Xenopus tropicalis: one gene and its partners. The protein of the gene in region 5 purifies or fractionates together with the protein of the main gene of each other region. This does not show direct contact. Links are inferred from orthologs where the notes say so. Each region holds a gene or a part of one and is shown on either strand. Other genes may lie near its edges. The genes, in order: top3a, zup1, rfwd3, smarcal1, rpa3 and prpf19.

What was found.
Region 1: the proteins of rpa3 (region 5) and top3a purify together in Homo sapiens (affinity purification with mass spectrometry; 3 studies listed by BioGRID and IntAct, with this or other methods). This does not show direct contact. The link is inferred for Xenopus tropicalis from reciprocal best matches to the Homo sapiens genes RPA3 and TOP3A.
Region 2: the proteins of rpa3 (region 5) and zup1 purify together in Homo sapiens (affinity purification with western blotting; 3 studies listed by BioGRID, with this or other methods). This does not show direct contact. The link is inferred for Xenopus tropicalis from reciprocal best matches to the Homo sapiens genes RPA3 and ZUP1.
Region 3: the proteins of rpa3 (region 5) and rfwd3 purify together in Homo sapiens (affinity purification with mass spectrometry; 5 studies listed by BioGRID and IntAct, with this or other methods). This does not show direct contact. The link is inferred for Xenopus tropicalis from reciprocal best matches to the Homo sapiens genes RPA3 and RFWD3.
Region 4: the proteins of rpa3 (region 5) and smarcal1 purify together in Homo sapiens (affinity purification with mass spectrometry; 3 studies listed by BioGRID and IntAct, with this or other methods). This does not show direct contact. The link is inferred for Xenopus tropicalis from reciprocal best matches to the Homo sapiens genes RPA3 and SMARCAL1.
Region 6: the proteins of rpa3 (region 5) and prpf19 purify together in Homo sapiens (affinity purification with western blotting; 3 studies listed by BioGRID, with this or other methods). This does not show direct contact. The link is inferred for Xenopus tropicalis from reciprocal best matches to the Homo sapiens genes RPA3 and PRPF19.

What each region holds. Positions count from the first base shown.
Region 1 is NC_030685.2:15,952,857-15,956,356, forward strand, and holds part of top3a (DNA topoisomerase 3-alpha), read left to right. Parts: intron 1-639; coding exon 640-847; intron 848-1,698; coding exon 1,699-1,884; intron 1,885-2,553; coding exon 2,554-2,683; intron 2,684-2,813; coding exon 2,814-2,927; intron 2,928-3,500. UniProt on the Homo sapiens protein: Releases the supercoiling and torsional tension of DNA introduced during the DNA replication and transcription by transiently cleaving and rejoining one strand of the DNA duplex.
Region 2 is NC_030681.2:74,824,352-74,828,639, reverse strand, and holds the start of zup1 (zinc finger with UFM1-specific peptidase domain protein), read right to left. Parts: upstream 2,801-4,288; 5' UTR 2,787-2,800; coding exon 2,120-2,786; intron 1,398-2,119; coding exon 1,290-1,397; intron 1-1,289. UniProt on the Homo sapiens protein: Deubiquitinase with endodeubiquitinase activity that specifically interacts with and cleaves 'Lys-63'-linked long polyubiquitin chains. Shows only weak activity against 'Lys-11' and 'Lys-48'-linked chains.
Region 3 is NC_030680.2:74,776,487-74,779,104, reverse strand, and holds the end of rfwd3 (E3 ubiquitin-protein ligase RFWD3), read right to left. Parts: intron 1,754-2,618; coding exon 1,536-1,753; intron 1,057-1,535; coding exon 913-1,056; 3' UTR 501-912; downstream 1-500. UniProt on the Homo sapiens protein: E3 ubiquitin-protein ligase required for the repair of DNA interstrand cross-links (ICL) in response to DNA damage. Plays a key role in RPA-mediated DNA damage signaling and repair.
Region 4 is NC_030685.2:86,335,847-86,339,346, forward strand, and holds part of smarcal1 (SWI/SNF-related matrix-associated actin-dependent regulator of chromatin subfamily A-like protein 1), read right to left. Parts: intron 3,427-3,500; coding exon 3,276-3,426; intron 2,100-3,275; coding exon 1,941-2,099; intron 1,535-1,940; coding exon 1,469-1,534; intron 919-1,468; coding exon 778-918; intron 685-777; coding exon 466-684; intron 15-465; coding exon 1-14. UniProt on the Homo sapiens protein: ATP-dependent annealing helicase that binds selectively to fork DNA relative to ssDNA or dsDNA and catalyzes the rewinding of the stably unwound DNA. Rewinds single-stranded DNA bubbles that are stably bound by replication protein A (RPA).
Region 5 is NC_030682.2:34,387,485-34,391,483, forward strand, and holds the start of rpa3 (replication protein A 14 kDa subunit), read right to left. Parts: upstream 2,801-3,999; 5' UTR 2,796-2,800; coding exon 2,697-2,795; intron 1,362-2,696; coding exon 1,287-1,361; intron 514-1,286; coding exon 405-513; intron 1-404. UniProt on the Homo sapiens protein: As part of the heterotrimeric replication protein A complex (RPA/RP-A), binds and stabilizes single-stranded DNA intermediates that form during DNA replication or upon DNA stress.
Region 6 is NC_030683.2:60,626,426-60,630,700, forward strand, and holds the start of prpf19 (pre-mRNA-processing factor 19), read right to left. Parts: upstream 2,801-4,275; 5' UTR 2,672-2,800; coding exon 2,653-2,671; intron 1,769-2,652; coding exon 1,619-1,768; intron 501-1,618; coding exon 424-500; intron 1-423. UniProt on the Homo sapiens protein: Ubiquitin-protein ligase which is a core component of several complexes mainly involved pre-mRNA splicing and DNA repair. Required for pre-mRNA splicing as component of the spliceosome.

The DNA of each region.
Region 1 (3,500 bases), on a different chromosome or scaffold from region 5:
TGCCTTCTTCTTCCAACTCTTTCCAGCTTTCAAATGGGGGTCACTGACCCCGGCAGCCAAAAATCTATTGCTCCTCGAGGCTACAGTTTTATTGTTATTGTTACTTTTTATTTACTTATCTTTCTATTTAGCCCTCTCCTATACATATATCAGTCTCTTATTCAGACTACTCCCTGGTTGCTAAGGTCATTTGAACCCTAGCAACCAGATAAGTGCTGAATTTCTAAATTGGAGTGTTTCTGAACAAAAACTGAAATAATATTGAAAAAAAAGTACAAACAATAAAATACGAAGACCGATTGCAAATTGTCTTAGAATATTACTCTCTACATCCTACTAAAATTTAAGTAATCCCTTGACCCCCTTTTGAAAACTGCAAAGAGTCAGAAGGAGAAGGCAAATAATTAAAAACCCATAAATAATGAAGACCAATTGAAAAGTAGCTTAGATTAAGCCATTCTATAATACTAAAAGAGAACCTAAAGGTAAACCACCCCTTTAAGAATGATCACTGTGGACGCAGAGGCAGCATTATTAACACAAATATAGTTTAGTTGCCCTTTGCTGGAGTACTGTCTGTATCTGTTTGGGATACCAAGCTGGCTGCACCCATTAACTGCCTGATGCTTTGTGTTCTAGATTCATCAGTTATCCCCGCACAGAAACCAACATTTTCCCCAAGGACCTTAACCTGACATCTCTGGTTGAGCAGCAGACGCACGACCATCAGTGGGGAGGCTTCGCGCAGCGAATCTTGGAGAGGGGTGGGCCGACCCCACGGAACGGCAACAAGACAGATCAGGCTCACCCTCCCATCCATCCCACTAAATACACCAACAGTCTGCAGGTCAGCTCACATCTGCCCCTTTCCTTCATGGGGAAAAAGGTGGTTCACCTTTTAAATTAGCTTTCAGTATGCTATAGAACAGGGGTCCCCAACCTTTCTTACTCGTGAGCCACAGTCAAATGTAAAAAGACTTGGAGAGCAACACAAGCACCATAAAAGTTCATGGAGGAGCCAAATAAGGGCTGTGATTGGCTATTAGGGGCCTCTATGCACACTATCAGCTTACAGGGGATTTATTTGGCAGTAAATCTTGTTATTATTCAACCAAAACTTGCCCCCAAGTCAGGAATTCAAAAATAACTCCCTGGTTTGGGGGCACTGAAAGCAACATCCAAGGGGTTGGGGAGCAACATGTTGTCCTATTCCTAGCAGTTTTGCAATTGGTGTTTGTAGTTTATTTATTTTTTTTTTGTTTGTTATATAGGTTTTTGAATTATTTGCCTCCCCTCCCCTTTAAATGGGGGTCAAAAAAACTATTGCTCTTTAAACTTACAATGTTATTGATATTGTTTCTTTTTATCATTTACTTTCATTGAGTCCCCTTCCTATTCATATTCCAGTCTCTCATGTAACCCGCTGCCTGGTTGCTAAGGTATGCAAGACCCTAGCAACCAGGCAGCGGCTGAAATTCCAAATTGGAGAACTGCTGAACAAAAAAAAAAGCTAAATAACTAAATCCAAATTGCCTTATCGATGAATCAATGTCTTCATCTTCCTAAAACTTCAATTAAAGGTGAACTACCCCTTTAACACTTGCTCAATAAGTGGCAGATATGGGAAGGCAGCTCTCATCGTGACCCGTTGTTGTTTATAAACTAGTAAATACAATTGGTCCCTTTTTTTGGTTTCAGGGAAATGAACAGCGGATCTACGAGTTTATTGTGCGCCACTTCTTGGCATGTTGCTCCCAAGATGCACAGGGCCAGGAGACCACGGTGGAGATCGACATTGCTGCCGAGCGCTTTGTCGCTCATGGACTGATGATCATCGCTAGGAACTATCTAGATGTCTATCCCTATGATAAATGGAATACAAAGGTGATAGATGAAGGGAAACTTCACCCAAACACAACTATTAAAAAATAATTAAGCCTTTTCATGATATTTAATGTAATAATATGGTTTGGAACAGTTCCCTAAGCCCCGCCCCCTGTTCCCCTGCTGATCTGGTTGGCTACTTTGAGACTCAAATAAAATGTAACAGTAGTCGCCTGTCCTCAGCCTGCTTTCAGTCTGCATCCTCCCAATCCCACAATCCCCTGAACACGTGATGTCAATAAGGAAAGGAACATCCCAGTGCAATGCATTGTGGGTTATGTAGTTGCTGCATGCTGTCTGTAAGCTGTGGAGAAGTTGTTACAACTTGGAACATGAATGTTTTAGTCCCTCCTCCCCTGCCAGGATTGCAAATGATGCAGAAAGAGAAGAACTGTTTTGCAGCTGGATTTCAGCATATAAAATGGTATTTATTCCTACTTTGGGAAGGAACAGATTACAGTGATAGGGATATTAGGGGTTTCTGTATTGTGTGGGGCTCTTTAACAAATTTTGGTTCAGAAGCTGGAGTTTCCCTTTAATATTTTTATTAGACGCCTTCTGCTTAGCCATTATTCCTTTGTGTTTGTAATTTCATTTTCATCTATATTTTGCCCTTTGAATTAAGAAGCAATAACGGCATTGACGATGCTGTTGCTTGTGTTTCCCTAGATCATCCCCGTCTATGAGATGGGCACCCGCTTTCAGCCCAGCACGGTGGAGATGGTGGACGGGGAGACCAGCCCCCCGCAGCTTTTAACAGAAGCCGATCTCATTTCCCTGATGGAAAAGCATGGGATTGGTGAGTGAGAAGGTTATTTTGCCCCTATTTTTGCCATCGGTTTGGCTGTTTCGTGATTGTGTCTTGTCCAGTAGATCCTTAATATGACAGATAGGAACCAATCGTCTGAGCTTTTGTGCTTCCCCTGTAGGTACTGATGCCACCCACGCTGAGCACATTGAGACCATCAAGTCGCGCATGTATGTGGGTCTCACACCAGAGCAGAGGTTTCTTCCTGGGGAGCTTGGAATGGGGCTTGTGGAAGGTAAGAGACAGGCCAACTATGTGGTTATGTATGGGACAGTCTCTTGTACTTGGCCTAGTGCCGCCCCACCCTTATGCTGTTTATTTGTTCTTATTAGTTCCCATGATATTCTCAGTCCATCACTGCCCATGAATGTGCATCTCGTGGTTCTGTTCAGGCATTGGCTCGACACAGAACCTCAAGTGACTGACACAGGAAGTGTCTCATAACCTTTCTCTGCTTATTGCAGTTTTTTCAGCGATAGAACGGAGCAGAGAAGCATCAGGAGATGATTCCTGCATCAGTAACTTAAAGGGGTAGTTAACCTTTGAATAAACTATTAATATGTTACAGACTAGCCAGTTCTAAGCAAGCTTTCCATTGGTCTTTGTTTTTTATCTTTTAGAGCTTTTGAATTATTTTCCACCTTCTTCTTCTTCTCCTCAGCTTTTAAATAGGGGTCAGTGACCCCAGCATCCAAAATAAACTAGTTTGTTTTTTGTTACTTAATGTAACTTATTTTTCTATTCAGTCCGTCTCCTTTTCATATTTTATTATTACAATAATATTGTAATTGTAAATATACATCCAAAC
Region 2 (4,288 bases), on a different chromosome or scaffold from region 5:
CTGGCCCCACATCAAGTGCAGGTGACAAAGCTCCCAACATTACCTTCCCACTGGCATTAATGTAAATCGCCGGTGAGAAAAAAATATGCGTCACATATGCTTTCCATTTTCATTAATTCTATTAGGAAGGGAAGTTAGGACAATTTGTTGCCCGTGCTGGAGAAGATTTCTCTAATGCAAGAAAGAAGCCATGCAAATAGAACTACAACATGTAAGAAATTGGCATGCACTGTTCTTATGGCATTTCTATGGTAACAAGCTGTCCATACATACATACAGTTGTTTATTTGCTTACTGAAAAACCTATATCCAGATAATTTAAATACAAAGTTTGACTGGACAACAGTTGTGAACTATAACAACCTTGTAGTAAAACTTTACACAAAGTTCTGTGCCCAACCATAAACTATAAAGAAATATCTACAGTACTTAAAATAAAGGCAATGACATATGACTAGGAAAACTCAATGCTATATATTTGCTAGTGTTTTTAAATACGCCCACTGCACCTTAAAAATATGTGTTCTAGTTTATTATCATGGCAAACTGACACAGCTACAACAGTGCTGAACCCATTGCTTTTAAACACTTGAAATGATGACATGTATAAGTCCAGAATTCATGCAACACCTGCAATCTTTCCAAAATGTGATTGCTTAATGACATGTGTCTAGTGCATGTTCAAATCTATATCTACAATATATATGCATACATCATGATCTTCAATTAAACTAAAACAAAAAGCAATATACTTCTTTTAAAGGAAACGTAACTCTAAATTTTTTTAAGTAAAAAAGCTATTCTACCCTGCACCAATAACTGCCCTATCCTGCAAATCACTTAGTATTTTAAATGCTGTAATAGAAAATACCTGCTAAAACTTGGCTTCCTGTCAATTGAACTACGGCAATACGGCGAAAGAAGGAGCTGCATCCAATATGCGACGATCGATTGATCGAGCCTAGCCTTCTTTCTGTATAGGAAGGAGTCAGGCTAGGCTTGATCAATTGATCGTCGCATAGTGGATGCAGCTCCCTCCTTCACCGTATCGCCATAGTTCAATTGACAGGAAGCCAAGTTTTAGCAGGTATTTTCTATTAAAGCATTTAAAATTAGTTAAAAGCATTTAAAAGTGGTTTGCAGGATAGGGCAGCTTTTTTACTTAAAAAAAATTTAGTGTTACTTTTCCTTTAATGCTATTTCTATACTGGTTTGTTGCTACTTAGTTAACCAATGTGTTTAATAAAAAAAAAAAATGCTTTAACAGAAATAATTTATGAAAAGATCACCTTCATCACAGCTGCTTTCTTCCAAATGTAGGTTTACGTGCTCTTCTAAGATCTGACTATTTGCACACACAAGGGTGCACAATGGACACTCGTACTGTCTGCAATCATCTGGTAATGCAAGACAACAGCAAAATTACATGGGTGACAAAGCTTTTTAGGTAAAAACAAATACACTGTATCAAAATGAACTAGCAGGAGACTTGGCTTTCACTCCATCTTAAATCTTCGTTATAGGTATATTTAATATTTAAATACTTGCCACATTAAAGGAGACAAATCATGTGAAAATTAAGAATGTACCAGTGCATTATATTTCTCTAAATATAGAAGGATTGTGCTAACAAAAGTTGTGTTTAGGACGGATTTATTGAGAAATTCCCCAAAAACCCTACAAGTCCCGCCCATCTGTTCCACTTCTTGCTGGCTGAATTCTATGGATGATCAGGGGTGCACTCAGCACACTGAACTGTAAGATAGGAACCAATAAGCAGCTAGGCTGGCCTGATAGAGAACTGCTGCCTGTCTTTGCTTATGTGACTGCAGGACTGCGATTGGCTACTCCCCTACTACCGTGCTTCTGGCAGGGACAGTTAGGACACACCTACCCCTCATCTGAAATACAGACAGGAACCTGTGAGGATCTATAGGGAGCTCCAATTAGGGGCCATTTTTACAGATAGTCATGCAAATTAATACATATAAGAAATTATAAATAATCCATAACCTATGTTTTTAGTAATTTCCTTGGTATGCAGTTTTATATTTCTATGAAACTTTTATGATAGCAATAAACACAGTTTAATATTGAATGTAAAGATCAATCCTTCCACCTTTAGTAGGTGTTCCCAGAAGATCTGCATGTTCAGTCTTGACATGACATTCTAGTTCTTCCAGAGAAGCTTTTACTTCACAACAGAAAGGGCACTCTGGAACAAAGTCCATGTCACAGGAAGGTGGAGGGGTAACAGACTGGGACTGAACATCAAAATTTGTATTGTCACAAATTTCTCTAACAGAGTCAACATCATATACAGAAGGCTCAGAACAAGCAGCACCAGCGGTAAGGTCTATGATAGTATTTGTAGGTTGTGCAACAGAAGAAGATTTAGAAGTAGAAAGACAATGAATTCTGCTGAATTGTGGACATTCATTATTTAGGTTGTTTTGAAGATTGTTCTCATTGGGTTGGGAAGGGACAGAAAGCCTGGGTTTGTCTGCAATCAATGCTTCGTGGTCCCTAGTGTCGGAATCCTGTAAAGCTCTACGACCAGCAGAGTTATCAATGATGCCCTCAGATGTATTTTGCTCATCCTCACTCCACACCTCCAATATGTCCTCATGGGCTGCGTGAATATGGAAGTTCAGTTCATCATACGATAATCCAGCCAGGGGGCAGAAAGGGCAACAAGCATCCTGCTCCATGTGAGCAAGCAGCAAATGGCTCTTCATGTCATTTTCAGAGTGCACCTCCTGAGTGCAGATGTCACAAATGAGCATGTTTTATGTCACCTTACTGAGCTGGAGAGACTTCACAAATCATAAAAGGATTCACACATCTGGAAACTGGATAAAAGAAGAAACAGGCTATTAGCTAATAGGTATACTAAATAAATATGTTTGTGCATAAATGCCGTCTTAAAGAGAAATATATAGCCTATAGCATGTTCAGTAGGACAAATGTCTAGAATAAACAAAATGATTATAGCAAAGGCAAAATGTAAACAATGCTATATGTTGGAGAGTGTGGTAGTGCAAACAGGTATATTTGTCCTAGAACTGATATGTGTGTGTGTGTGTGTGTGTATATATATTGTCTTTATGAACATTGGCAAAAGAAGTAAACCGCAGCGCCTTACCCCAATCCTCGACTTTCGTTTCCCAGACTGACAGGGATTTCAATTTAGAACTAAACTCGTGACGTCACCCAGGCGCCACAGCGCATAGGTGTCATCACTTCCGGGTTAGGTTTATTAGACAAATAAAGTACCAAATACCAATAAAAGTAAATTTCTGACACTGAGGCGTGACGGGTTACTGATGAACTGCCAAACTTTCCTCTCTACAAGACTGTCCCTAATGCTCTTGCAAGTAATGGGCAATACACATAGTGGTGCTAAGCGATGGCTGTGCCGTAGCCTCTGCAGAGATGCTGTGCGGCTCATTCTGGTTTCAGGTTCTGCCATATTGTCACTGCCAGAGAGCGCCGGGATAGGCGTTTTTTTTTACAGAGACTTGACAACAGCTTGTCGTCTCACGGTATGATGGGAATTGTAGTCCCTGCCGTGGTGTAACAACAGCGCCCACTGGAGGGGAGTGTGGGAACCGAGCGGGAGGGCGCTGAGCTTGAGCTCTGATAATATTGTTAAGTGCAATAGGCCTGACTTTTTAAAGGCCTGAATTACATGGCAGATCTTTGTCTCGCAAAACCTCATCATGCAACTAGACATGATAGCATAAATGCTACACAATCTGATCTGAGGTGCTGTAGAATAAAATATGATTGGATACAATGGGAAATGTTTCCTGTTTAAGCATGTGTATCTGGCATTCAGTGTCCTTCTTTAAGAAACAACTCTACCACCTTTAATGTTCAAGATGAAACTGCACACTGCAAGCTGTCTCTCCTCCAGATCACATGACTGGCTAAACTTTAATGCATATCATACAGCAATTTAAATCCATCTCCCAGCTGGCAAATCCAATTGATTTCAGCGTAGCCAACTAAGAGCTGGTGAAGTGTCTATACAGGTAATCTTGTGTTGGGGAGCAATAAAGCTATTTGCCAGCAGTTGAAAAAAATGCAGGAGTCCACTTGTAATGAAACTGGATTTTCAAGGGATCTCTCATTCGTCCAACACTATTTTTGAAAGGAACACTGGTAAAAGGTGGTCTCTTTAAACAAGAACAATTTCCTTTTCTTATTTAAAAAAAAATGGTGGCATAAAAACAGTAAGTTGGCAAGCAATAGGAGCTCCTCATCCTTTTTACTTTTTGATTTC
Region 3 (2,618 bases), on a different chromosome or scaffold from region 5:
TAAAAGGTAGTCTGTGCCACTGGATAATTCTAATCATTCAGTCAACCAGTCATTTTAAGTACTACCAGCCATTCCCTGGCTCATACAAGTCATTGTGTATACACACAAACCAAGGGCACACATTCTTGCTTCGTTACATCATCCAGTGAATGGACAGAGCTATGTTTTTTACCCCCACACCTTCTTGTAAAAGGACAATATTTACGGATATACGCTTGCACACACTCTGGACTAGTGCAGCATCAACCTGCTGTTACGTTTTCTGGCAGTTTGCACTATCTTTTAATAAATGGTTGTTTGGCAAAGAAGACATATAATTTACTAAATCTATACAGATTATATTTTGCCTGTATGCTCCAAAATACATTTTGCAACCTAGATGAAGCAGTAACTAGAGGTTTTCATTTACATTTATTTGGGCTTGCTCTAGTGGAGTCTCATCTCATCTCTCATCTGCTTCAAACCATGAGCAAGTCATAATTAAAACAGATACATAGTAACGATGTGCAAGTACTTTACTTATTTTGTACCATAATGGTATTAAAATTCTTTATTAGGACAGAGGGGGAAAAGGAAATGGTGACAGAATTACAAAGAAAATATATACAAGAGACATACGAAACAGACATTTTTAAAGAACACCCCTGGACAGGGATTTCACAGAACAAAGTCCTTTAAAATTAGATTATTGCACACAGATTTAAGCTGTGAGACAAGACCTTAGTTTTAATTGAATATATAACTGTTGAAAAGCAGCATATGATTACTGTACATACATTAGTGCATCTCAGCTGATCATTTTGGTTAGAAGCCTGGAACACTGTCATGCTGCAGGCAAGATCAGTATGAAGACTTGGAATGCTACCATGGTGCCAGCCAAATAAGCAAAAAATAATCTTTTGAAGGGACATGTTACTCCCATTTATAGATTTTTACCATTTTCTCTGTTAAAGTGGCCAGCATACTGCTTTGATTTACTTCCATGGGACAGATATCTAAAACAGGCTGGTCAGCTTGAAGCTTCTGAAGAAGAGTACCATTTCCTGAATGCCAAAGCTGTATTTAAAAAAAAAAAAAAGATAAAAGATAAAGATAAAGATAAAATTGTACTTCAAACAGAAAGGGAACAATACATCCATTGTATGGTTACATATATAAATCTATTGTATTACCCATAAAACTATGTTCAAAAATGAGATAAACTAAGATATAATAAATCTTTATTGGTGGCAAAACAATCCTATAAGGTTTCATATTTAGATTATTTTTTTTTTTTTAGCAGACAAATTATTGTGATCCAAACTACAGAACATCCCTTAAACAGAAAACCCCAGGTCCCAAGCATCCTGGAAAAAAGGTCCCCATTGCTGCAGTATCAGTATGGACTAAACAATTTTACTGTGTGGACAACATATTTTAATTCCAATAAAGAACAGCAGATACAGGTCTGGACAGTATAGCGAGTGTAACTTTAGTATTAAGTCTATTGTATGCAACATTGGATTCCATATCCAAAATTACAATTCAGTACTTACCATTGCAGAGTTTGAAGCTTCATCACCAGCACAAACCAAAATAGAGCCATCTCTCTCAGGGCTCTGAAATATGGCATTCTTGGTGAGAAGCTTGCATGTGCTACCAGCATTAAAGGTTTGAACAGGGTAACAGGAACAACTGTACTCATTTTCAGAGTCACTCAGCCGGTTACTGGTCAGTTCCATCATAACACCACGTACATAATTATGGGTTTTACCTGTAAATATATAATGGCTATGTTTATTTTTTCTTTTTACTACACATATTTAGAAAGGCAAAAAAAAATAAAATTTATATATATATATATATATATATATATATATATATATATATATATATATATATATATATATATATATATATATATATATATATATATATATATATATATATATATATAAAGTCCAAGAATTTGGTGCACACCAGGATATTTTTTCAAAAATTAAAACGTTACTTTTATTTAAACATGCTGTTAAAACAGGCCAACGTTTCGGTCTCCTCCTAAGACCATCATCAAGACCACATACACAGTTAAAATCAGCAAATAAATAGATAAAACCTCTAGACACTCCCCCAAGCCCCACACTCCCATCCCAGTCACATGACTGAATAGTTAACCCTGTAGGCTAAAGCATAACAAAGTCATTGTTATGCATAAGGGAGCATGTAGTGCAAGAAATACCAAGTTAAAAAAGTTCATACTTATCTACTGACAAATAATGCAGAAAATGTAACCATAGATGGTACGGGAAAATACAGAAAAGAAAAAAGGAAACAAAGACATTAAATGCTTAACCATAAACTGGCAAATATTGTAGCCAGTGTAGCAAACTCAGCAATACATCTCCTCACCTTTGCTCTAGAAAACATAGAAAAGAGCAGTGTTCATTTAACCCTGCCGGTGCCAAAGTACCTAGTTTTTTAATCCAAAACACCTCTCTTTGGAGAAGTAGCCTGGCCCGATCACCACCCCTTGTAAGGGGCGGCACATGATCAATTGCAATGTAATGAAAGGTGGGCAACCTGTGCCCCATCTCTAGAAAATGTTTGGCAACAGGCTTATTGGTTGTACCATCCCTGAA
Region 4 (3,500 bases), on a different chromosome or scaffold from region 5:
TTCTCTTGAACTTTCTGTCAATTGAGACGAAGATAAAGACCCAAACAGTGAACTTGAGATTGATTTTTAGTTTGACTTGGCCTTTAATCCTGCCTTACTTGGTTCTACAGAGCAACGGGTGGAGGGGGAAACGTTTGGTCAAATTCTCCCTCCTGGTTACACAGTGAACTCCTCCCACTTTAACAGCGAGGGGTGGGGGCGCCACCAAGCCGGGACGGTAATGGGGGACATAGTTACATTAATACGTGGTTTCAATGTTGATAATATAGAGGGGCCGGGGGGGCCTGTAACTCAATATTCACTTGAGAGGATAAGGACAAAGGGAAAAAACAAAACTACAATCTATGTTTCGCTATCTGTAATGGAAAAATAGTGCATATTTCCCCTTTAAATCCCCTCTTTCTGTGCCCCTCTGGCTCAGGATAAAAGAGACATTCCCACCAATCAGGGAGCCAGCCTACTCACGCTCTTAAATCCCTTGGCCATTTCCTTTGCCGCCGCCGCCAGGGCCGCCTTGGTCTTTGCAGTAATGCCCTCGGGGGCCACCACAACCATTTTGCGCTGCTTAGCGGGAAGCTGGGACAGGACCTCGGATTTCAGCCGTCTGATCATTATCGACTCTTCCAGCAGCAGTTTCAGCTCGTTTAGATTAGAGGATCCCGAATAATCCCACCCCCAGGGCATCTGCCAATGAGAGTGAATTATCAGTCTGTGATATTAGTATTTACGGGACCCAACGTAAGCCCCCCCCCCCCCCCCCCCGCGCGCATAACTCACCTGCTTGGCGTCGCAGTAACGGATTCCGAAGTCGTGGAACCGAGGGAAGAAACTGGGTCTGACGGCAGCAATCTGTGTGTAGAGCTCGGCCGGCCTGGACATGGCGGGGGTCCCCGACAGTAGCATCACCCTCTTAGCACTCTGTGTGGTGGGAAAAGGCGCAAGAATATTACATTCCATAGATCATTTGGGCTAATAAAAAAGGCAACTGCCCATCAGATTCAGCCCCCCCTTCTAAAGGTCCCCATACACGGGCCAATTGTAGCTGCCGATATCAGTCCCTTAGACCGATTTGGCAGCTTATCGGCCCGTAGGCCTGTAGGGGCAGGAACAACATGCCTATACCTGTCGTTATAATTCGATCGTTTGGCCCCAGAATCCAAATTAGCCTGGATTCTCCCGATATCGCCCACCTGTAGGTGGGGGATATCGGGAGAAGATCCGCTCGCTTAGCGACATCGCCAAGCGAGCGGATCTGAAGGTGTATGGCCACCTTAAGGGAAGAAGAAAAGGAAAAGCTACGGTGGCTGGAAAGGAACAAAAAGGATAGAGGGAACCCTACAGAAATCTCAGAAAGGCAATGTATAGTAAAGGCAGGGAAACACATGGTACAGAGTGGGTGGGGCCAGTGCATGGGGGGCGGGATCAGACTGAGGTGGGGGAGGGTAGAAAGGTAGGGGGTGGGAGGTACCTTCAGTAGCGGCATGGCAGCCTTGCAGCGAGCAGTTTTCACGTTCTTCAGGAAATGAGATTCATCCTTAAAATGAATAAATAAATAATGTACTTTTCTCTCCATTGTCGCTGTATTCCTGCCCCAATATCCACTCTCTCTCTATATATATTATATACACACAGTGTGTGGCTACACTGCTACAGGGCCACATCCCCTTTGGGGGCTCTACAGACTGAAGCTATAAATTTATACCCTGGGGCGGGGCATTTCCTGTGGGATAAATAAGCATTTGCAACTGGCAGAATCCAACCCACTATTTGTTCCTAAGGCCCCGGTGTCAGTACCTGCCCCCCCATATTACCCTGCAGCACATTCCATGCCACCCACATTTGAGCTTTAGGGGGCGGGAGCTCACAAAGGGTTCAATCTTCCCTGGCACTACTGGCCAGTGACATTTCACAGAGGGGCGGGACCTAACGCCGCTACTCACTATAATAATGACTTGGAAAGTCGCGGCAATCTGCTTGTCCATCTTCCCCAGAAGGTCAAAACTAACGATGTTGATGAGACTGGCGCTCTGGCTGTCCCGCCCCGTCACGATCACATTAACGCTTTCCGGCCTGATGGAGGGAAGCCACCGCTGGAAGGCCTGCGGGGAGTAACAGGGGAACAATGAATTGGGGTGGGGGGATAAAAAGACACAAATAGATAATCTCAGGTAGTAAAGGTGCTGGCAGTTATAGTTGTACTGTAGCTAGCCAAGGGGAATGCTTTATTAGAACTGGAGCAGGAGCTCCCCCACCTGGAGAGCAGAGGGCACAGCAGCTACAAACATATAAGGTTTCCTTAAAGGGCACTCGCCTCTATGCCAACTGTGCCAACCTGTAGCCACTACAGCCGGGAAACTGGACCCCAGGGGCCCTGCATTCATTTTAACCCCCGCACTGCCCCTGCTGAGCTGGCACTGCCGGTACTTCTTTCCCACACACCGGGCAGAGAAATGATCCCAGCTGCAGAGCTGGGCGCCATCCTGTCATGCAATCAAAGCATGGATTGTGAGCTCTGCGGGTCAGGTTACCTCATCTTCCCCCTCCTGCCTCCCTTGGGGTCTGCAGCAGCCAGCTGGGTGGGGAGAGGGCAGCACTTGTGGCAGACAGTCTCTCATCCTAATGCACAGATAAACCAATCAGCCGCTAGCTCTCTGTGCCTGACTCACTGGAATTCCTGGGTTCAATTCCTGTCAGCTCCACAGTCGCTTATCTATATGAGCCCTAGGGTTGCCCTTTACAGGGCAAATAGCGCAATTGTGCTATATTTGCGATTTGGCAAATCAGACGTAACTGCAGTAGACACAGCGCAATCGCATCTGCATTGACAATGGAATTGTGGGGGAAAATAGTGGATTGTGGGGAAAAAAACATGGTGATTATGCTCGAAAATGTGTCTGGGTAAGTGAATGTGCCCAATGTCTTTATTCTGAGTGTAGATCTAGAATCCCAGCCATAAAGCAAGGCAGAGCTGCTGGAAATACCAGGAAATACACCTAGGAGGCTGCAGGGGCCCCATGAGTTCCCACACAGGGACTCTCTCCTTTTTAAGTTGCTAAAAGCCCCAGATTTGCTTGGTGTTCCCCTTTAGTGGCTCATAACGAGGTGCCGTTGGCTAATTGTAATTACACAAATGATATTCGATATCAACATTATCTGCATCAGAGTTACTGACTGACTGACGGGCCTTCATATGTATAATCAATATACTAATTACTTATATAACGAGCAGCCTGCCGGGACGGGATAATTACACAGAATGTAGAGCAGGCTCTTACCTCGGCCCATGTGAACCTCACAGAGGAAGGGGCCACGACAAGCAGGGGCCACTCTTTTCTATAATAGGCAGCAATACAGATGGCTTGTATGGTCTTCCCTAAGCCCATGTCATCGGCCAGCAGCAAGCGCCCTTCCCTCGATACCGCGAAACTGCACGATTAAAGGCCAAGTAAATGGAAAGAATAAGAATACAGTAATTACTCAACTCATGTTTCAGGGAGAGT
Region 5 (3,999 bases):
AAATGGGAGAGCAGCAGGGCAGCTGTTTAATTATCAGGCAAATCGCCTTGCAAAAATGCCCCAGAGAGAATCCTGCTACCCTCCCAGTTTCTCTAATACAGTTCTTATACCTATTTACCAGATGTAAAGTTCAGTACGGGTGTACAGTACAGTGCACAAGGTGAAGAGAAGACCTGCAGCAGGGGGCTGAAATGGGTGCTGCAATGAACTGCTGATGTCCATGGGAAGCACTGTGCATTACAGAAACGTGAATTCTACTATTTTAGAGGTGCCACACTGCCAATCTTACCTGTCCTACCCAGGGAATCCTAGCGTAGAAAAGACAAGTTAGGTGGCAGCACAGCAATGTTAGAGAGAGATCTCCAAGACTTTTCTTTAATAGCGACAAATAGCTTTTTACTTACCAAAAGTGCTTACATCTTCCCGAAATGGGACATAAGATACTCCCATAATTGTTGCCTTTGGTGTAACTTTTCCAATCACTTCTATGATTCCAGAAATTTCCTCTTCCAGCTGCAACATAAGGAAAAATAGTGTGAATTGTTTCTTAATTTTAACAACCAAGGGGAGAAAGTGTCACAAACTAGTAATATGCTCCTATTTACTAGACATGCTCAACAAAATATATTTAGAATCTTTTACATTTCTATGAAGAAAAATTATGTCCACAATATAACCTTTGTTCTTGCAAAAAAAAAAAAAAAAACTGTAAAAGCACTGTATTTTGTGTCAATCTGAGGAACCAATCCATAATTTCTAGAGACCCCCGGAGTGGGTGTCAGTGTTCATTTTCTGGAACAATGCTTGTTTGCAATTGTCTAGGTACTGCTTTTTTTTTTTTTTTTTTTAATTACAGGTGAACTAGGAATACTAAGTGAACATAACTTCTGTAGCATACCCAAATTAGTGAGTTAACAGCAAGTATACAAAGAGTACACTAAAATGTCTCATTATGAATTTTTAAATAGCGAGCTAATTCTGTAAAAATAATTGCCTGCAGGCACCTATAACTATACTGTACAGTGTGCCCATTAACAACCTTGCCCCATTGTTAGGGTAATAAATGAAGCACATTTTGGACCAGCTCAAGCAACACCAGTTGAACACATGTAAGGAATACCCAGGACTGACTGACAGACTATGTATTGAATACCTAAGTACTCCGAAACAGTGCTGACCACTAACTTCAGCAGCACTGATCTACATTCCATGATTTACTGCATCTAAAGGGTAAATGACTTATTTGCGTACAAAATGTCCTCGCTCATTCACACTGCTATACATACCGGTTCATTAAGCTCAACTGTAGCATTTTTTCCTGCACCATCTGATACAACAATGGATGTCCCAGTTGGGTGAACCTGTGTAAATATCAAGAAATAACAAAAGCATCAAAACAAGAATACTTTATGGTTATCTTGTAAGAGAATAACCTTGGACACTAAAGTTCCATATATTGACTTACTAAAAAATAACAGGGAACCTTTGGTGCTTTAAAGAAACACAGGATTTCTTGTCTTCTTTTGTGTACTTCAGTATCAGACTTCCTGCTCTTAGAAAAATGCTTCAGGGCACAGGCAGTAGTCTGCTCATTTTGCTCCTCTCTCCCTCCCATCAGAATATGATCCCCCTCCCATCTGCGTAATATGAGCTATCAGCAGCAGGACGCTACTGAGACCAAGCTAAAATGGCAGCTGCTATCTTAAACAGAGGGAGCCTCTAGGGCTGTTTACTCAGGTATGGTATAGCTTTCTGCAGAATAAATATTTTTTATAACTTGCACTATTGTGACTAATCTATTGGCAATCAAATGGCAATCTCCTTTAAAGGGATAGTTCATTCACCATGAAGTTACATCAAAATGAAAGTGTTTTAAAGTAATGGAAATATAATGTACTGTTGCCCTGCATTGGTAAAAGTTTTGTGTTTGCTTCAGGAACCCTACGATAGTTTATATAACTAAGCTGCTGTGTAGCCATGGGGGCAGCCATTCAAGCTGGAAAAAAGGAGAAAAGGCACAGGTTACATAGCAGATAACAGATAAGACACCATTGTATTCTACAGGGTTTATCTGTTAGCTGCTATATAACCTGTGCCTTTTCTTCTTTTGAATGGCTACACACCAGGGTTTATATAAACTCTAGTAATGTTTCTGAAGCAAACACAAAACTTTTACCAGTGCAGGGCAGCAGTACATTATAGTTTAATTTCTTTAAAATATATACATTTTTTGGTGTTAACTATAGAGAAAACAGACCCTGTGAAGCAGACCCAGTGGTCTAGGCCCTCATGCAACCACTGGGTCTGCTCCCTCTAAAGTCACACCAGTGATTGCTTTTCTCTCTATTCATCTTCCAGTCTCTGCTTCCAACCACTGCCTGGTAGTTTGGGTTACATGGGATCCTGGCAACTAGATAACTGCTGAAATGCCAAGCTGGGCAGCTGTTGAACATAAGGCTGAATAATGAAACCACAGCAGATATTCACTATTCACATCACTTTTGAAGGTAGCATACATGTGACTCCCCTTTAACTACTGCAACACTGCAAGTCCCAGCACAATACAAGAGCAGTTGTTACAGAAGTATAGTTATAGTTGGACACCAGGAGTATAGTTCATGTACTAGGAGATAGCCCCATTATGTATAGGTATGAAGCATGACGCTCGTCCGCAACGCGAAATGCAAACCTCTTACCTTTTCCACCTTGCCAACGAAGCATACGGGCCTCCCCACATTCTGAGCCAACATGCTCGTGTTGATGCGGACCTTGGGGACATCAAACAGATCCGCCATTGTAACCAGAACTTATAACAGAGATAAACCTTCCTAGCGAAAGATGCGCTGTGGCGGGAAACCTCTTCCGGAAGTACCAATGACTACCAAAGAGAGCGCAGGGAAACTGGCCAATCAGCAAAGTGTGCTGCTGACACATTGCCCCGCCCAAAGAAATCCGAGGAGGGATGCGCCATGATTGTATGTGGCAGATGTGCCTAAGTCAGCAACTAAACACCTGCAATTTCAATGAATGTTGTAGTATAAAATGTATTCCTTCCCTATACAAATGTGTGTGCTCGGTACCACTTTTACACCAGTCTATTGAAATAGCCTATTAGTTGCTGAAATCTTTTCACGGCCAATTTTGTATTAATATGTAAGTAGCTGGCATAGTTATATAATACACTCTGTTCTGGCCAAAGTGGATCTTAAAGTCATAGATTGTGCGTCCTGCTTGTAAGAACTTGTACTACCTTTTACATTTCACAAAATGTCACTACCTTGGGGTTGAAGGGGTGGTGCCAAAAAACCCATTGTATGCACTCAAGGCACTCTGACTCTTTAAGAAATGTTTCATGCTTTAGATTTTATTTGTAATTACTATGGAAAGTAGTATCTGTTTATCCCTATTCTCAGCACTGCTGGTTTTCAGTTTCGAAAGAACAAAGCAGAAGCCAGCTGCCCTGCTACATTGTTTCAAGAGTCAGATCCTGCTACCAATTGCAATTGCATTTACAGAGAGAACTAAAACCGAAGACATAGTTACATAGTTACATAGGGTTGAAAAAAGACCAGTGTCCTTCAAGTTCAACCCATCCAAGTAAACCCAGCACACCTAACCCACACCTACCAATCTATACACTCACATACATAAACTATAAATACAACCACTAGTACTAACTGTAGATATTAGTATCACAATAGCCTTGGATATTCTGATTGTTCAAGAACTCATCCAGGCCCCTCTTAAAGGCATTAACAGAGTCTGCCATTACCACATCACTAGGAAGGGCATTCCATAACCTCACTGCCCTCACCGTGAAAAACCACCTACGCTGCTTCAAATGGAAGCTCCGTTCCTCTAATCTAAAGGGGTGACCTCTGGTGCTTTGATTGTTTTTATGGGAAAAAAGAACATCCCCCAACTGCCTATAATCCCCTCTAATGTACAGAGTAATCATGTCCCCTCCCAAGCGCCTCTTTTCCAGAGAAAACAACCTTA
Region 6 (4,275 bases), on a different chromosome or scaffold from region 5:
TGATATCAAAATAATTTCAGTAATTTTCATATTCTCACTTATGATGCAATAATGTATCTGCAGGAAACAGTAAAGATATATCAAAACCTCTATTAGGTTTCCATAATTTTGCCTCTGCTGAGGCAAAGAACACATGTATAAAACAATATATACTGAGGCAAAGAACACATGTATAAAACAATAAAACAATATACCCAGCAGATTTACCCTTTACTAATTTAAACAAGTAAAAAACCTGATACATTAAACACTAACAATACACTTTACCACATGGCTAATGAATACAGTTACGCTTTGTAAATCTATTTATTAATAATCAGCTGTGCAATACATATGTTCTATTTTTTTTTTTTTTAATCTACACCAACACATTTTATAGACAGTAAGGAGAGAAAGCACAAAGTGAAGGATCCAGATACTAACCCACTCATCTTGCAATGATTTCAGGATTGCTGGAATACTGGTTGCAGAAGGTGGTTTAGGACGAATTGGATGGGCTACTGTAAGAAACAGGATAAAAGACCCTTCAATAAACTAATTGAAGAAAAAGTAAAAACATCGCTCCATTCTTTGCTGTGATTAAAGAAGAATTAAACTTAAAAAATGTTGTTCTATTATCTGTTTAGACCACTCATGTGTAATTTAGAGTATAAATGGATACACAGCACAATCTATTTATTCTTATGTAGATCTACTAATCAATTTTTTTTTGCGACAGGTCTAGGTATTATAAATATCTAAACTTGTTACCAGTTTACATTTTACATACAGTAGCTCAAAGACAGGTAAATAAAGACAAAATTTAAATAGTCTGTAATATGACCTATATGTAAGGCCCAACCACGATATAGAAGTTCCCCTTTTTAAGTCTTTTGACACAGTCAACCAAAATAACATTAAGAGTTTTGTAAAAGTATTTCATAGAACTGTGTACAAAAAGTGCAATACAAAAATATGTGGATCCATATATTATAGGCTAATTAAAAGCAAGAAATTGGCTTACTAATGCATAATTCAGTTATTTTTCTTCTAAAAATCTGTAAAATTATGTGTATTCACTTAGTGAAGTTTGGGAACATACACTAATTAAAATGTAAAATTTGGCTTTGGAAGCAATGTGCCATCTCTAGCTACAATTAGCATTACTGTGCGTTGTGCAAACGTAAAATAATACCTTTAAATGACCCAACAGAAATTATAGTTTTTTGGTTTTTTTTTGTGTTAGGTATGGCTAATTTTTTTTTTGGGGGGGGGGGGGGGTTACAGGTGAATGACAAGTAAATTCCCTATACAGGTATGGGACCTGTTATCCAGAATGTTTGGGACCTTGGATTTTCCGGATAAGGAATCTTTCCGTAATTTGGATCTCCATAACTAAAGTCCACTAAAAATAATTTAAATATTGAATAAACCCAATAGGATAGTTTTGGCTCCAATAAGGATTAAATATATCAAGTACAAGGCACTGTTTTATTAATACAGAGAAAAAGGAAAAAATTAGAATTATTTGCTTATAATGGAGTCTATGGGAAACTTTCTGGATAAGGGATCCCATACCTGTACCATTAAACTGAACACAAAGAAAAATAGCATTAGACGTTTTCACAGCTCTACTGACCTTTAATGTCAATCAACTGATCCTCACTTAAGGGCTGATTTGTTACTGGATCTGTCCCATTTTCAGCCAAATACTTTTCAATAAGGCGGCGATCAAAAATATGACCCGACACCGGGGAAATGCAGGGGCGATCTGTGACCTCATTACTGACTACAGGCAAATGAGAAAAATGTGAATTTTTATAAACATGTTTAGATTATAAATGGCATAATTGCTTATAAGTCTAAACATAGGTTTTAAATACACATGTACTGTCAAATACAATTATGTCCTAAAATTCAAGTGGTAGGAACAAAAGCATTAAGTATTTAGTACCTTTCATTAAAGTTGGAGTCTAACCATTTTATACATTAATGAATTAAATGTTTTGTATGCAAGCAAAGGTACACAAATTACAATCTCTTACATTATATTTCTAAATCATGGTCACAATACCATATTTCTAACAGAGCTATCCCCAGCTAATAACCCTGCTTGCATTTTCTGAATGCTTTAAATATGACTATACATCAATGTATATACAAACCCTGTCCGCGCTCCTGAATCAATGTCAATACAATTAATTTGGATACTCTGAGTATACTAATGTGAAAAAGCAAACTTGAGGGAAAAAAAAAATACCACTTATCTATATCAATTACTTTTAAGTGAACTATAATTAAATATATCTTTGAGCTGCCTTCCTCTACCTAATCCTTGTAGTGATTAAAATCTTAACCCCAAAGAGAGCGCCAACTTTTTGGGGCATACATCAATGTATACAAATCATACATCAAGATATTACAAAAAATATTAACTTAACACAATTAGCAAGCTCCAGATACAATACAACTTTTGTTGACATAAACACAAATTTAGGGAAAAATATTTTCTACTATTAAATAACTTGCATTGAATTTCTATATATAGGACCTGTATACCAAATATCGTATCAAATGACACGTTGCATCCACACAGCCGATGCTCAGCAACTTTATACAAGCATTTTATGAATCCGGTAGTGCTATTCTACTGCTGTTTTATGTTGCACTCACTATAACATGTCAAAGACATCTTCCAGGTATCTCTTTGAGCAATATGGTTAGGCGAGAAATAGCGTTGTTTTCTTTTTAGTGATGCTGTTCAGCTAGGACTCCCTGTTTTCAGACTTAAATTGGGCAGGCCCTTTGGCGGGCTATCTCCGTTCTACCGAGGTAAACTTGGAAACAGCGTGTAACCAGCGTCGGCAAAGTACTTCCGGTTTTCTTTGTTTCTACATCCGCTCTACAGCTAGACGTTTTACGTAAAGCAATGAAAGAAGAGATAGACTCGGCGTAGTGTAGCCGGATGTGTACAGCTGCAGTTCCTGGCAGCACTGAAGTATTTCACAGCGCTTTGTGATTATCATACGTGTCAGTCTCTTCTTTAGTTGTGTTTACTATCTAAGGGCTTCCCCACATATATGCATGTTTGGTGCTATTTATATTAATTTATTATCTTTATCAATTCTTAGGCTGCCTTTAGAGTCGGCAACCTGAGGGTAAACGGAATACATACAAGATTTGCATAGACAGACTACCTGATAAGTTATTTAGGCGAAAGCCTGCTGTTAGCAGTCTAAAACATCTATCTCAGAAATACCTCCCAACATTTGAAAAGTAGAAGGAGGGACAAATATTTCAGGACACGCCCACTTTATGGCCACGCCCCCCAACCAGGCCCATTTTACAAAACCACACCTGAAAAACATAACACACACAAAGTGCACCAGAAGATAGGCATGGTGGCCCCAATAATTTTATGACATTTATCACATATGTAGCCCTAAGAATTTCATTACGCACTGTAGCACCTGTATATCATGACATTGGTAGCCAGGTGTTACGTTTTGCATTGGTGGCAGGGCAGGGACACCCTAAAACATTGCTAGCCAGCCCAGGGCCCCCTTAAACATTGCTGGTCCTCCCCCATTGTCCCCATAGTATGGGTTGCTCCCCACTGCAGCATCCTCCAGCTCCCCCCAGCATCCTCCAGCTCCCTCCCAGCGTCCTCCCCTGCATCCTCCAGCTCCCCCTTAGCATCCTCCAGCTCCCTCCCAGCACCTTCCCCAGCATCCTCCAGCTCCCTCTCAGCATCTTCCCCAGCATCCTCCAGCTCCCCCTAGTATCCTCCAGGTCCCCCCAGCGTCCTCCCCAACATCCTCCAGCTCCCCCGCAATGTCCTCCCCAGCATCCCCCAGCTCCCACTTAGCATCCTCCAGCTTCCTCCCCAACATCCTTCAGCTCCCCCCAGTATCCTCTAGCTCCCCCCAGCATCCTCCCCAACATCCTTCAGCTCCCCCGCATCCCCCAGCTCCCCCTTAGCTTCCTCCAGCTTCCAGCTCCCTCCCAGCATCCTCCCCAACATCCTTCAGCTCCCCCCTAATATGCTCCAGCTCCCCCGCAACATCCTATTCAGCGTCCCCCAGCTCCCCCTTAGCTTCCTCCAGTTCCCCCCCAGTATCCTCCAGCTCACTCCCAGCGTCCTCCTCAACATCCTTCAACTCCCCCGCAACATCCTCCCTGCGGCTCCCCCTGCTCCCCCCCCCACCCGCCTGCTGCCTCTTGCTGCGTCCCCCGGCTCTTCTTCTCCCCATGATGTCACACTCGCGTCTATCGGGAGCACCGCAGCTTCTGCAA